Astyanax mexicanus: one gene and its partner. The protein of the gene in region 2 interacts with the protein of the main gene of each other region in a pairwise test. Links are inferred from orthologs where the notes say so. Each region holds a gene or a part of one and is shown on either strand. Other genes may lie near its edges.

Region 1 (8,497 bases), on a different chromosome or scaffold from region 2:
AGCTATAAAATGTAAATATGCATTTATTCTATAATTTATAATTGTAATTTATAATTGTAATGTTTCTTAACATTAAACTTTATTGTGAAACATTACTTACACAAAACAAATATCACACAGTCTAAGGTTATATTTTTTATTTATTTATTTATTATTTTTTTTATTCTAATTTATTTATAAAGTCTCTGAAATGTCTTACAAAAAAGCTGTGTCTGCTATAAGGTATACATATAAAGGTGCTCAGTTTGACAATGTGTTGTCAAAAAGGTACTGTTCCTTATCAGATATTCAACACAAATGTGATAAGACTGATCAAAAAAATACTTACCATGAACATTAAGCCATTTCTTACTCTGAAATGATCAGTCTTTGTAATTTTTATGACAGTGGAAGGAAGGCATTAAGTCCCACATGGTCTCACATTGCTGACTCAACACTGCCCCACACCCTTTAGACAAGTAAGTCACTGTTGCATTGTGAACAACCAAGAATGACAATCACATTAAGAGTTCACATTTTTCAGTTTTTATTAACTGATATTTACACGGTTTAAAAAAAATACAGCCAGTGTTACAAAATAATCTGCTGCTCACATTACTGCAAAGCAACTGAGGAAAAAAAGCCACCAAGCAAAGCTTCCTAATTTGGCCATCAAATACAGGGGTCACTTTTTGCCTTCCACCATGATGATGTGGTATCCAAACTTTGTTTTCACGGGAGGATCTGTGTATACTGGTTTATCCATTGTGCTGATGGGTAGTGCAAACGCAGCATCCTGAAATGGTCCCACCATTGATCCTCTTGTCATCCAGCCAAGGTCACCCTGCCAAATGCAAAACAAACTTTCTTAGGCTAAGTTTAGGCAGATTCAGAAATCTGATCCCTGTCCAGAGGACACATTATTTGGTCTTTTAATCTAATCAATACATTAAAAAAGAAAATTACATTTCAATCAGAATAGTGACACATTAACCTAAGTATTTAAGTAAACACCATGTACTGAATATATCCGGGCACTAATGTACTTGTAAAGGTACCAAATAACATGTAATTATGGAATTCAAATTACAGAATAGAAGAAGAAAGGGAAACTGAACCAGTAAATAGTTTTAAAAAAATAAAATTAGTCTGAAAGCCTTTTCCAATGGTAAGAAACAAAGCAGGTGGGATCCTGCCATCTACTGGTAAACAAGAAGAATAACTGAACCTTCAATTTGCAAATGATATACCCAGCTGTAGTAATAAGAAAATTATTCTTTAATCAATATAATACCAAATCTAATATTCCAAAATCAGTACTAAACATTTTGAAAAGTTATACTGTGCACAACAAGGTTGATCTTTTCTGCAAAATCCATGTCAGACCACACAGAATGTTTTTATTTATATTTTATTTATTTATAAGAATTATTATTGAATTAAAGCTTGTGCAAACTTGCACAAACAGTTTAATGCTAAGAGCTTTTAAGTTTGTCAGCATAATAATTGCAATATATTTCATATGATCAAACAGAATCAGTTCCCTGTGTAAAGAAAACTGTGCTATATCTGTACTGAGCTACACATTTATTTCTAGAGGGTCTGATCACTGCATAGTTTTGAATGTGGCACACCCAATTCATCCTTAAGTTAATTTAAGAAATCTTTTGTGTAATAAAGGCAGGAATAACATCCAAGAATTATGATTAAAGGTCTATTCTGCAGTTTGTGTCTGCTTACTCCTTGTCTAGCCTTGTCTTCACTGTATTGTGATGCCACTTCACTAAATCGCACTCCAGACTTCAGTTTCTCCATTGCCTCCATGCATTTCCCATGCTTTTCACAAAGAATATGCCGAACCTGTTTGGGGCGAAATGAACAAACATCATTTTAAGTTACACTTACAAACTTTACACTGACATGCATCATTTCAACTATATTCAACAATTCACCACAGGTAATGAGACGAATGTCACATCAGTAAGGAACGTGCACATCTCTCTCTCTCTGTCTTTCTCTCTCTCTCTCTCTCTCTCTCTCTCTCTCTCTCTCTATCTATCTATCTATCTATCTATATATCTATCTATCTATATATATATATATATATATATATGGAAAAAATAGAATGGGAGTGGCATTTTCAAGCATCTGCACAAGTCTAAAGTCACCATACCTAGTGCACGGGTTACTGAAAGCACTGGGCTGTGTTTTCTTAAGTAATTAACATCATTGATCAACAGATGTGATTCAGAGATATGCCCAATTTTACAGTACAGCCATATTAAACAACTGTTTCTGCTGCAAAGGATAGACAAGCTGCCTATTAAAATCCTTTATTTGAGATGATACGTAAGATGAACAGATAATCACAAACATTTGGACATAAAGTGACAGTTTCTCAGACAGAGATTAGTCCAAGTCTTACACATGATTTAAAATGCAGATTTTCAATTGAGAATTAAGCAAAAAAAAAAATATATATATATATAGTCAAGGTATGACTATGCTTAATCCTAAAACTAAAAGGAACGTATCTATTTATCTGTCTGTCTATGCATGTTAAAATGTGTAACTCTTAGCTAACCTACCTAGTCAGCTAATAACATTAAACCATATAAATTAACCATGTAGTTTACCTTTACTGCAGTCCCTCCTTTCTGGGCTTTCTCTTTCTTATCTGTGTCTCCACTACCGGAGGCAGCAGCTCCTGTTTAAAAAAAGGCTTTATTAAATTATGAGACCATAGACTTTTATAAACTTCACATCTGCTCAGTTATCAGTTTACCTCATGGCTACCTAGGCTAGCACAAGTGCAGCTACTAGTATAGCCAGGTAGCAATATTTTAACAAAATCTGCTCACTTCAGTTCAAATTCACATACACTGGCCAATAAATTGATATATAGCTAGGTTAGATAAGCTAACAAAATATCTGGTTATTTCGTGTACATAGTACGTTAGCTTAGCTACAGTCGTGGCTAGCTTGCTAATATTTAGCAACAGTACGATGGCAGTGTTGCTAATGCTAGTTAGTTAGTTTAGCTAACGCTGGCTCCAAAACAAAACCAAATGCACTTCAGAAAGAATCGACTAGCTGCGACATCTATTTCTAATAATAAGTTGCCATTAAACCACAAAGCTCACCTTTTGCACCTTTGCCACCCTTTCCTTTAGGTGGCATTTCTGATAACTAGCTAGCAGTTAGCCTTGTACCCTACACCAGCACGACTCACTACACAGCACAGGAGAGCTATGTTGCCAGGTTCTTTTTTCGAATCCCCCCTGTAGGCCTCCGCTGTTGATTTAGGATATTTAGGATAAAATAGAAATAATTAAAATATAAGATAAAAAATCTCAAAAGCACATATTATAACATATAAATAAACAATAAACCGAAATATTAATCTTATTTACAATTTTCCCAATTCTCCCATTCTCCCTATTTTTTTTACTTATCAGGCATAAACTGATTTGTTTTCTTCTGTTAAAGCCAAACGCGATTAGAATTACAACAGTATGGTGAGCACACGAACAGGAGGTAGGGGGTTTTACAAAATAAATGCACTTAATTAACAAATGATAAATACAGAATTAACCTTTTATGGTATGTGGGTCCTTGATTTTTTTGTATTAGTTAACAGTTCATATAATTTATTTTTGTAGCACTCCATATATATCTTGTGCAGTGTATATAAAAAAACTAAGCCATATAAATAATAAACATTTGATATAATGTGTTTTTTTTCTATAGTATTTTATTTTACACATAATTTGGTAATAAACTGACATCCTCAAATTCTGAGGAGCCACTTGGCAGCTGACTCTTTTTAGTGAGCCGGGCCAAAAGAACTGACTTTTTAAATGCTAACTAATTGGGATATATATATATATATATATATATATATATATATATATATATATATATATATATTAATTTCTGCAATTATGTTGTAATGTTTAGCCAAAATTGTAATGCTATTAAATTATGAGAACTGTTAACATAAAACCATTCTTGTGAACTTAAAATTCAATTATTTTCATCATAGCAGATTCTACGCAGTGTTGGAGAGACAGCAGTGTGAAGAGGGGAGCCCTCTCAGCCAATCAGAAAACAGCTTGTTCAAGCAAGTCGTTGTTGCCAGGGGGATGACTTTACCCCTACCCAAACAAACCGCGAGCGGAGATGACAGTTGACGTTGGACAGCTAACGATAAATTAGTAAGAAAAGCAGATAACTAGCTAAATGACTAAACAGATAATTTAACGTTACAAATAATATATTTAGATAGCTAAACGTATTAACGCTATGTAGCTATGTTCTATTGGAAAATAGCGTGAAAATACACGGGTTTGAGTTAGCTAACTACAAGTGTCTCTTTATAGCAAGCTGACGTTTTGAGCGTTATCAAAAAGGTGCCTGTAGCTAGGTTAACCTAATCTAAATCTAGGTTATATAGTTAGATAATGAGCGGACTGCAGGAAGGAAAGCTGCAGGAAAGTGGAAATGGGATATAACTACATTAATTCATAGAAAAGAACAGATAGTCAGTGTGAAATCTCTGCCCAACACAACGGAAAAACACAGTATGGTGGTTTAATTACTTTTTCAGTTTAAATTACACTTTTATAGCCAGTTAGCTACTAAACATGGAAACATATGAGCAAATTCTCACTCTTGGAAGTGGTGGAGCAGGAGTCGTCCTGCTGATGAGACATAAAGAGACAAATAAGCTCTATGCTGTGAAAAGAATACAGGTAGACAACTCTCGAAAGACAAAGACCAAAGAGGCTGTGTTACAAGAGGCTGAAATTCTGAGGAATCTCAAGCACCCCCACATTGTGACATGGAGTGACACCTTTTATGACACAGCAAATGAGCTCATTTACATTGCTATGGACTACTGTGATGGTGGGACCCTGGATGACCAGATAAAAGGAAGAAAGCCAGATGAGTACTTCTCCGAACACGTGACTATGAAGTGGTTTGTGCAAGTGCTCATGGCAGTCAGCTACATCCACTCCAAAAAAATTCTCCACAGAGACATCAAAACCTCCAACATTCTCCTAACCAAGCGGGGGATGATCAAGCTTGGAGATTTTGGAATATCTAAGATAATGAGCCACACACTGGATATGGCTTCCACCTGTGTAGGAACACCCTGTTACCTCAGTCCTGAGTTATGCCAGGACATTCCATACAGCACCAAATCTGACATATGGGCTCTTGGCTGCTTACTGTATGAACTTTGCACACTCAAACCAGCTTTCTGGGCTAGAAATCTGCTGAATTTGTTCTACAAGATAATAAAGGGTGAATACAGCCCAGCTCCAGATCAGTACTCAAAAGACCTTCACTCTCTCATTGAGAAAATGCTTTGCTTGGTTCCTGAGAACAGGCCGAGTGCTAGCAGCATCCTGGGCATGCCCTATGTCCAAGAACATCTCGGCCAATTCATTGAGCACCAAGAGACAGAACTGACTAAGGTTAATGTTGAATCCAGGCCTCAGACAAGACAAGTATGTGTTCCAGAGGACATATCTGCTGTAAAGAGTGAAGATGCAACATTATCCTGGAAGGACACTGTTGTTTATATGGAAATGCCCACTCTGCAAGAATCACCAAGTATGAAAGGAGATGATGAGGCAGCTCTTGTTGTGGAGGAGGAGTTGGCCCACGCTACAACTGAGTCTGATTATTCAGAAGACTTTGAAGAAAACGAGAGCTTGTCATCTGTTGAAGGTACTTCAAGGAAGGATGCCTCCTTCAGTCCTGAGCGTCCGTTTGAGGAGGAGTCGCAGGGTCGCAGCTATGAAGATGAGAAATCCTTAGATATGCACTGTCAAGTTGGGTCTGAATGTATGCTTTTCATTTTGGGTTTATTATAACTATGATGTGTGTAAACTAGGTCACACTGGTCTGATACCAGGTATCAGGTACCAGCTTATATCAGAATATTAGCAGGAAATGCTGGGTTGGATATTTTGTATTTTTATACAGGAATCTAATTAAATCATATAAGAAGTGTAGTTTGAAACAGCACACACTATGCTGAACTGAGCATGATAGGCTGCTTTTATAGTAGATGCAAATATTGCTAATCTTTAGAATCTTTAAGATTCTAGTGTAGCGCTGCTAATAAATACGTAACTTAAACTACAGTCACCAGATGTGAGTTAAATCCATCTGGCAAAAAGGGCAGTGAACTAAATGAAAAACACTGACAAAAATTATTTTCAAAACTGTATTTAAGGGTTTCTTTACTTCGGATCAGCCTCTTCTGACATTGAAGCCAAGAAATTCAGCCTAACATTCGATAGTTTTGTCAAAAATATATGATTTTGATACATATTAAGTGGGTTAAGAAATTTGTTTAGTGTTTGTTAGCAATGCTAGCCCAGCATCTCCCAATGTATAGAGGCGAACCTTAGGTACAACGTATCAAGACCTTGTCTAATGGACTGCAAATGAGAATGATAATAATGTATGGTAATGTTTTTGGTAATGTAACAATCAGTTTACTATATGCATTTAATCTTTGTTAAAAACCTTTCCTAGGATGAATGAAGAGCATGTTATGCCTATTAACATTTGTGTGGTATATGACTGTGTGTTACAGCTCCTCCTGATGTGGATGTGGATGCTATGGAATACCCAGATGACTTTGAGGATGCTGAGGAGGAGGAGTTGGCTGAAGTGGTGAGCTGTGCCCGAAATGCCATTCAGTCCCTATCAGAAGATGATACCCTGGAGCTGAAAGATTCTGGTGGCCTTTCCGTCACCATGAGAACTCTAAAAGATAAGTACATTGGTCAGTATGCACATCTTAATTCAGAATACATAACTTGTTTGTATATAATATTATTTTCTCTGCTTAGGAAAGTCATGATAATTACTGGATTGACATAATGTACAATGTACAGTACAATAAGTAGTTTTAGTAGAAAATGATCTGTGTTTTGAACAGTATATGGTAATTTTAGTAATTTAGTAATTTAGTCATTTGTTCAGTGATAACTCAATGTCTTTTTTCTTTTTGAAAAAGCAATCTTATTATATGATATGTATATACTGACTTTTGCAGAGGATGTTGGGCCCTTACTGTATGAGGAGATCAGTGGGCACTTTCTGAATGGCTTGAAACCAGAAGACCTGCAGCCCCAGTTCCAGCACACGATAGGGACTGACCATCTGGAGACCTGCTATCTTATATTCAACATTGAACAGGAGGGTACTACTACATGTTGAGCAGGCAGCCGTTTTATTGGGATGGGCTGAAATTTGATTAAAACGTTTTGTTCATTATTAAAATTATTTATGCTCATGGTAATATATTTTTCTAAAGTATGTGTTTTTTTAATTAAAATTAACATACAGGGCTAAATAGCAGGGACTTCCCCTAAGCACTACATTGCATAACCAATAGATGGCAGTCTACAGTTAGAAAATGGAATATAAAGAAAAAAAGCAGGCTTTGTTTGTTGTGTGTTCTGCTGTTGCTGTTGCTCTTTTTTATTATTATATCATATCATCACTGTCCAATGAAAAACATGTATCTCCAAAACAGCAGATTTACAGAAGAGCTTTCAATGAGAGTCAATGTTAAAAGAGTTTATTTTGGGTTTAGGAGAATTTTTATTAGTCTATTCATAAAGAAATGTTGACACAATGTAAGGGACTGCTTATGTGTTCAAAATATGAAGTAAACTGAAAATTAACAAATGCAAAAAAACATTTTTAATTGGGCAGCCATGATATATTCTATTTTAGCACTTTCATTATGCTAGTATTACAACAATCACACATAATACTTTGATATAATTTGCAGATGATGGTGTTTTAATGATTATAATTATGATGATAATGATTAGTAATGGTGGGAACAAAGAAAGAGAACCAAATAAAATACTGCCAGATAGGAACCCAAAAAGGGAATATATACAAAAAAGAGTGTTTTTTTATGAAAGGAACGTTGAAATAAAAAGGAAATAGCTCCTAGAGTGGCCTCACTGCATTATACTTTACAACAAGATAAGAGAAATATCCCTGACAAGGAGCAACGCTAACATGCGAGAGCTGAAACATGTTTTCCACATAGTTCCCTCCCTTTTATCAGGGAATGATCATACCCCCTGAATACTACTGAGTAAATACTGTACATCCGATGAAAGTGCACCAGATGTCTGGCCATGTCTCACTTCTTTGAGCGGTAATATAAAGCAGAAGTGAGAGGCACGTTTTGTACATTTGTAAATTGATGGGCTGCAGCTGCTGATCCACTTCACATATGTTTCCTCCTCCTTCTCACTGGCCTCACTCATTCTAAAGGGAAATTACATCAATATATGGAAAAAGGTGTCACACACGTGAGTGCTGTATGTTGCCAAATGGCTTGTGCCATAAAAAACACATATATATTTACTTCACTTTTTTCTTTAAGTGACATTTTGCAGTTTGGCAGTACGTTTTGTGTGTATACATACAGTATATTTATCTGTTTAGGTGAAACCCATTCAGGTTT
Region 2 (8,345 bases):
AATCACACTCATTTCCCATGATATATCTACTAGAGACAGATTATATCAGTAGTATCATCTGGATTCTGACTTCTGTTACAATTCTGATACAATCCTTGTATTTTTTTAATATCTCATTATTAGGGGTTTGCCATATCATATCATATGCAATAATAACATTTAATATTCATTTTGTTGCAGTAGTGTATTCTGGAAATATTTTTTATTTAACTCAGTGTTTTGTCATATCGTTATTGTCATATCATGTTATGTCATATCATATTGTCGTATCGTTATCACGAAAAAAAAAACATGAAATATTGTGATATTATTTTAGGGCCATATCACCCACCCCTAGTGTGTATCTTACCTGAACTGAATCCAGTACATTGTAAGAGAGATCCAGACTTTTCAGACGGACAAAATTCTTCAGAGAGATTCCCAGATGACAGATCTTCCCCGTTTCATATCCAGATCCAGGGAGGCTCAGTGATCGGACATCCGCTGTGGGTTCAAACAGAAACTGATAAATTAACTATAGATAATCAATCAATCAAGAGCCTGACTATGCTTTAGGTCGCGAAAGTCACAGTCCGTACTGTCAGCTACATTTTCCATTGTGAGGAACATAGTGAGGAAATGGAAGAACCACAGGCACAGGTCTAGTTAAGAACTGAAGCTGCAGAACAAGAAAGATCTCAGATAATCAGAGGAGAAGGATGGTGAGAACAGTCATAGTCAACAAACAGACCTCCAGAGCTCCAAAGACATCATCATCATCTTACTGCAGATGGAGTCACTGTGCATCGTTTAAACAAGGAGAGGCTGTATGGGAGAAAATTAATGTAGAAGAAGCCTTTTCTGAGCACACGCCACAAACAGAGTCGCTTCAGGTATGCTAAAGCTAAAGCACATTTGGAATAAGGTTCTGTGGACTGATGAAACTAAAATTTCAGGGTTATTTGGAGGGTGGTTATTTATATGCACAGAGGAAAAAGTACACAGTATTCCAACACAATCACTTTACTGCTCCCCACAGTAAAATTAGTGCCAGTTCCATCATGCTTTGGGGCTGTGGGACCAGTGCAGGTACCGGGAATCTTGTTAAAGTTGAGGGTCGCATGGATTTCAGTCAATATCAGCAGAGTCTTGAGAACAAGAATCAGTGAGAAAGTTGAAGTTTGAAGCGCCGGGGCTGGATACTTTAACAAGACAACGACCCTAAACACTAAACACTACTCAAAATCTACTAAAGCACTAAAGCATTCATGCAGAGCAACAAAAATTACAACGTTCTGGAATGATCATCTCAGACCCCAGATCTGAATATTATTGAAATATAATCTGTGGTGTGATTTAAAGCAGCTGTTCATGATCATAAACCTGAATCAAACCTGACTGAACAGATGATGTTTTGTAAAGAAGAATGATCCAAAATACCTTCAACAAGAGGCCAGACTTTCAATGGAAGCTATAGGAAGAGTTTAAATGCTGTTTAGATTTCTGCAAAAGGAGGATCTCTACTAAATATTGATTTGATTTTTCTGCTGGGTTGCTGAAATTTACGCACCTGCCTAATTTTGTTTAAATAATTATTGCACACTTTCTGTAGATCCTATAAACTTAATTTTTTTTACTTCTTCGCTATATCTTACTTTGTCTGATATATGATATATTTAACTAAAATTGCTAATCCGAGCAATCAATGGTGTATAAAGGAAAATAATGAAAATTATCAGGGGTGACCAAACTTTTTTTTTATACCACTGTAAAATCAAAATCAAAATTTAGACTTGTTCATATATTTGAAGAATTCTTTTTTTTATATATATATATATAACTGTCCAGCCCTAGCTTGAATAACATAAACAAACTATCATAAACATAAACAAAATATTGATCAACATCATGTTACGATACGTCAACGGTAGGGGTGTGCCATATCATATCGTACGCGATAATATCGCCAACATTTTTGAATATCGTGAACGATATTATACCCTGAAATATCGTGCCATAACACTCACCCCTAATTATCACTTTTTTATCCTACTTTTTTGCTGATTAAGCGAAAAAAAAAGTCACACATTTCTCATTTACAATTAAATATCTACTAGAGACAGATTATATCTGTCCAGTATCATTTATTTTACTTTAATCCTGGATATATGGAGATATTTGGAGTGCATTATTATTAGTATCATGACATTCTGGATCATTGACTTCTGTTACAAATCTGATAAAATTATTGTATTTTATTTTATATGTCAGTTAGGGGTGTGCTGTATCATAACGTATACAATAATAAAATGTAAGTTTTGTTTTGTTGCAGTAGTGTATTTTTTATTTTTATGTTTTTGTCATATCGGCAAGAGTATCGTTATTGTGATAAGACCGTGAAATATCGTGATATTACTTTTGGGGCCATATCGCCCACCCCTAGTCAACAGCGTAATTATCGCGACAGCCCTTGTTCTCTTTAGTTCTAATTCTGCATTTATTTGGCTTACAATGAGTGAATGTGCAAATAAAGGCTGGTGAGTTTGCTGGTCTGATATCTCCATGTTCGCAGTAGCTCTAGTATCAGCACTATTAGCAGCACCATAGTTAATCGGGTAACCAGCAACAGCTTAAGGTTTCATAGTCAGAAAAAGCTCCTGTTGAGACCTAATTACCAGACCACTAACTGTGTTTTTAGAATGAATATACTGTATGTGGCTTGGCAGGAATAGTAGCAGAAGCACACTGACGCTATTTATCAGGATATTTTCCCTTTTCCAAACTCAGAAACACTATTATTATCAATTTAAAAGACAAAACTTTAAGGACTGCTGCTTTAAACTAAGGTAACTAGATTAGCTAAATTAACTAGCTAACGTTACAAATTACTGTTTACCTGCGCGACAACGGTGCTAGCTTGAAAACACTGTGCGATTTAAACGCTTTAAAGCGTTTATAACATACGTATAAGATAGTGATACGGTTAATAAAGGTGTGTAGAGTCTGTACAGATATATAAAGTGAAGTTTACCCAGACAGCGGTGCTGCAGGCTGAGCTTTTCCCGGATCCACTGCTCTGTTACTGATACGCTATCTGCCGCCATGGTTTCAAACGGCCGGAGGAGACGCGCTCTGCGCATGCGCCTCACTCAGCTGCGCCCTAGCTCTGTAAACGGCGGTGTCCCAAACTGAAGGGAGCTCAGAAAAAGGGAGCAGCCTCTGGATTAAGGGCTCCGAAACCCAAACTGACGCTTCCACAGGATCACTTGCGCTCTTTTACATATTAGAGTTTTAAGTTCTGAAGCTTTATTTCCATTTAAGACGGGTAGGATAACATATTGAACCTTCCTGCCTCCGAATACCGCCTAAGTAGGCAGCGTGGGTGCGATTTAGGACACATCCAGCTAATCAGAGCCGTGTAGATAGAGATGGCTATATTTTAACACTGATTATCTCCCCATAACAATGACTGATCGCCCTCTTGTGTTTTTGTGATGGTAGTACCTTAAAACAATGTGGGACAACACCATAGCAACACACTAGCAACCACCTGAAACACCACAACAACCACATAGAAAGCACTTTCAATATCGCACAACCACCCTAACAAGCAAGCACTTCGGAAACTATAGCAACTACCTAGCAGCAACAGCATCTCGACCACCCGGGATGCCATAGCAACTGCTGAGCTACAGCATACTCTACCTAGCAACCACCTAGCAACCACCTGGGACAAGTAAGTACTGGCTTAATATCGGGATGAAACAGGATGACACCAGCAAGCAAGTTCAAAGAAACCACATTTGATACCATACCAACTGCTTAACAACAGCATAGCACCTCCAAGCATAGGAAGAATAGCAATAACCAAGCAACTGCATGGTAACCACCTAGGACACCTGGGTGGCTGGCATGTACGCTTAGGTATTTTGGGTGGTTGTCATAGAGTTAGAAAGTTGTTAAAGTGTGGTTACTGTGGTGTTACTCTGTGGTTACTATAGTACTTCAGGCAAGTGACAATATATTTGTTTATTTTGAAGAATATGCTAACAAAATAAATGTTAAATGTTTTATTTAGCATAACAATTTTAAATATTTATTAGACAAAAACAAGCAATCTTACCAAGATTCACCAAGTAACTTATTGTATAAAACTATTTGCACAAAATATATATCAAAAATTATACAAAAATATCCCTAAAGCTTTACAGTAAAAAAAAAAAAAAAAAAATATATATATATATATATATATATATATATATATATATATATATATATTATAATTAGATTAAATTTAGTACAAACAGAAAATCTGTAAGCCTTCGTAAACAGCAGGAGCTGACCAAGATAATAACGTGCATATAATATTTTGTATAAAATAATAATAATACATATGTTATAAATTAAATTAAAATAATGCAAAGTAACAAAAAAATATACTAAAACACAAAAGTGAGGAATACATTATATCCTTTGTCTATCAGTAAGTGACCAAGATAGTACATTACTTATCATCAAAAATAAATAAGTAAATAAAATTAATTAATTAATAAAAAAATATTTGGGGCTATTTTTATAAGTAAGTATAAGTACATAACTGACAGAGATACGTATGAAGTGATAAGAATATATTCAATATTTTTAATATTCACCTTTTTAATATGTTTTCGTTATATATATATATATATATATATATATATATATATATATATATATACGTATATATATATATATATATATATATATATACGTATATATATATATATATATATATATATATATATATACATATATATATATATATATATACACGTATATATATATATATATATACGTGTATATATATATATATATATATATATATATATATATTGTGTGTTCAGTGCTGAGGCCCCGCCCCTCTCTGCGCTGCGCGGTCATGTGATTGGTGTGTTGTGCTGAGCTGCGCTTTCGGGGCGGGTGGGCAGTATTGGGCAGTATTGGGCTCTGAATGACCACAGATACTGATACCCACGCGGACAGCGCGAGCGGAGGATGAGCAGAGGATGAGGAGAGGATGAGAGGATGTCTGCGCGCGAGCTGATGGAGGCCAGGGTGCGCGAGGAGGAGGAGGAGGAGGAGGAGGATGAAGATGAAGGAGAGGAGCTGACTCTGCAGGAGATACTGACCCTCTATAACCAGCCCATAAATGAGGAGCAGGCCTGGGCCGTGTGCTACCAGTGCTGCCGGACCCTGGCGGAGCGGGGCGGCCCGGGACCCAGGCGCGCGGGGCTGCACCCCCGGGGGGTCATCGAGGGTCCGGAGGACGTGTGGATACACCAGAACGGCACAGTGCGGCTTCAGCCCGCAGGTAAACACTGATCTCCTGCATCCCATAATCACATAACTGCAATAACCAGCTGCAGAAAAATCTGTGCATCCTCTGCAGGGTGCATGCACCAGCACGTGCGTGCATGCATGCATGTGTGAATGCGTGCAAGCATGCATGTGTGAATGCGTGCATGCATGCATTTGTTGTTTGTGCGTTTAGCACAGTGAGCACTCTATGGAAGCTCCAGTAGGCATCATCACCATCTGCATCTCGAGCCCCGTGAAGGAATGGCTGGTTATATAACACAGTGCATTCAGTCAGGCCTGCAGTCGCGAGCGCGAGAGAGGGCAGTGTGTTAATGATCTGACAATGTAAACACTGTGATGTATGGATAGGGATGAGTATGAATAGATATGTATGGATGGATATGAGTAGCTATGTATGGATGGGTATGTGTATGAATAGATGGGTATGAGTAGCTATGTATGGATGGGTGTAAATGGGTATGTATAGATGGGTATGGCTATGTATTATGGGTATATACAGATTAGAATGGGTATGGGAATGTATAAGGATGGATACAGATTAATGGCTAAGGGTATGCATGGATGAGTATCGGCATGTATTATGGGTATATACAGATTAGAATGGGAATGTATAAGAATGTTTAAGTATAGATACAGATTGATGGCTAATGGTATGTATGGATGGGTATTTCTATGTGTGGTTTATTCTGGATTAGAGAATTACAGGATTACAGGTTAGAAAAGGTATAGATATGGATGGATACAGATGAGTATGAATTGTTAGGAAGGTTATGGATTAGGATGGATGTGTATGGACAGATATGGATGGATTTTATTGTTTATGAATATGGATATGAATTAGTATGGATGGTTGGGGATGGGCATAGATGGGTATATATTATAAACTTACAATTGAGTGAATTCAAACTGATTAGAAAAAGAATAAATCTGATGCTGTAACCGATCTAATGTCTGAGCTAATGGCCTACTGTTCCCATCTCAAGTGAAAACATCTAAAACTCTCTGGCTGTGGCTTTAAAGTGCCCGCTCTTCAGGAATGCTGTGTGTTTACGGTGTAATTAGATGGAGCTAAGTGAGTTAATAGGTGTACCCTTTGAGTACACAGCCACAGGCAGCACACACACACTGTGTACACCATCTCTAACATGGCCTGAATGGGCGTGTCCAGTATTCACATCACTCTTAGTTTCACTTTTCTGGCCTCAGAGACGTGATAGGGGAAGAAACAGCAGCTTGTTTTTCTTAATCAGGACCAGCACAGGTTCAGAGCACAGCCTGGCCTGGTGTGTTCTCTGCTCTGACTCACTCCTCAGCTGATTAACAGGCTCCTGATGAGCTGGCGCAGGTGTGATACAGCAGGAAAGACACTAAACTAGGTCTGCACTAAATACAGCGCCATGAAATTGAATGAAAGTACCATCCCTTTCAACACAACTGCACTGTGTAGGCCTTCTTCTGTAGGCTCTGGTAAAATATTTCATATGCTGCTTCTGTGTCCCTCAGCTTGTCCAGAAAAGCAAGTGTACAGCTGATATGTTATGTTTGGTGTCTAAAATAAGCTTGTGTGGTCTTACTCAATATATTGCAATCAAAGGAAAAACGCTAAACCCTGTAGGCCTTAATAATCAATAAACATCATCCAAATTTGTGCTTGTCCGGTAATGACAGTGCTGCTCTTTCTTATTCCGCAGGTAAAGGCCAGGCGGCATCCTCAGCAGTGTGGGTGAGTACAGCTACTCTATATCAACACTGATAACTTCCTAAACAGGGACTGTCATTGGACAATGGCAGTACTGGGAACAAGACTGCTCATTCCTTGTGTCTTCTGAAATCAATGGTATTAAAAAGAGTAAAAGAAACACAGTAACCGAAAAAATAAGAGAGCACTTAAAAATAATGAGCTTCTTTGATTTTACCAAATTATACCAAAAACCTCTGGAATATAATTAAGAGGAAGATGGATGATCACAAGTCATCAAACCACCAAACTGAACTGCTTAAATTTTAGTTTGAAACATAAAGTTATCCAAAAGCAGTGTGTAAGACTGGTGGAGGAGAACATGATGCCGAGATGCATGAAAACTGTGATTAAAAACCAGGGTTATTCCACCAAATATTGATTTCTGAACTGAATGTGAACTTGTTTTCTTTGGATTATTTGAGGTCTGAAAGCTCTGCATCTTTTTTGTAATTTTTAGTTATTTCTTATTTTCTGCAAATAAATGCTCTAAAATAAATGCTCTTTATTTTGGAATTTGGGAGAAATGTTGTCTGTAGTTTATAGAATAAAACAACAATGTTCATTTTACTCAAACATAAACCTATAAATAGCAAAATCAGAGAAACTGATTCAGAAACTGAAGTGCGACCTTCATTTTTACAGAGATCTATCTATGTAAAAAACCAAACCAAACAGAGGGAGAAACGCTCCAAATAAACAAACTCATCAACTGATCCAGACCATAGAAATTTTCACAACTACAGGTGTGAAAACGCTCTTTTATACTCAGCAAATTCTAAGTTCTAATTCAGAAATCCCTACAACCAAGCTGAGATGTTTATAATAAAGTAAAAAAAGTTTCCTCTATTCAATTTATCATGTATTCTTTATTCCAGCGCCCCACGTTGGCAGTATATGCTAGTATTTTAGTTGACACCACTAAAATAAGTATAATTAGATTTTACATTACTTACATTCATTCTTTAATTTACATTTAAACATCCACTATAAAAACATGCGTCCTAAGAAGAACAAGTGTGATTAATCACATTTAATCACATAAAATAATGTGATGGACACGCCCAATATGTAAATAGCATGACCAGCATCCATGTTTAACTAAAGAGCCAAATTGAGCATGTGCAGTAGTGCAAAGAAAGTTGGACTGACCTCAACTAGGGTTCTACAACTATAGTGACAATTATCCAACCCACTCATTAGGACTCCCCCTATCAATAATGATGGCCCAACAACAGGAGGGTAAAGACCAGCACAGGCCTCCTCTGAT

The links.
Region 1: the proteins of cep72 (region 2) and pin4 interact in binary tests that used the Homo sapiens proteins (3 or more experiments, as listed by UniProt). The two-hybrid records come from large-scale screens. The link is inferred for Astyanax mexicanus from reciprocal best matches to the Homo sapiens genes CEP72 and PIN4.

Annotation. Positions count from the first base shown.
Region 1 is NC_064417.1:41,568,294-41,576,790, reverse strand, and holds pin4 (peptidyl-prolyl cis-trans isomerase NIMA-interacting 4), read right to left. Parts: upstream 3,484-8,497; 5' UTR 3,160-3,483; coding exon 3,123-3,159; intron 2,687-3,122; coding exon 2,616-2,686; intron 1,840-2,615; coding exon 1,720-1,839; intron 824-1,719; coding exon 665-823; 3' UTR 510-664; downstream 1-509. Other genes in the region: nek12 (NIMA-related kinase 12), read left to right, coding at 4,626-5,835, 6,596-6,787, 7,061-7,224.
Region 2 is NC_064408.1:122,668,069-122,676,413, reverse strand, and holds the start of cep72 (centrosomal protein of 72 kDa), read right to left. Parts: upstream 3,127-8,345; 5' UTR 3,120-3,126; coding exon 3,011-3,119; intron 484-3,010; coding exon 350-483; intron 1-349. Other genes in the region: spire1b (protein spire homolog 1), read left to right, coding at 5,044-5,329, 7,029-7,060. UniProt on the Homo sapiens protein: Involved in the recruitment of key centrosomal proteins to the centrosome.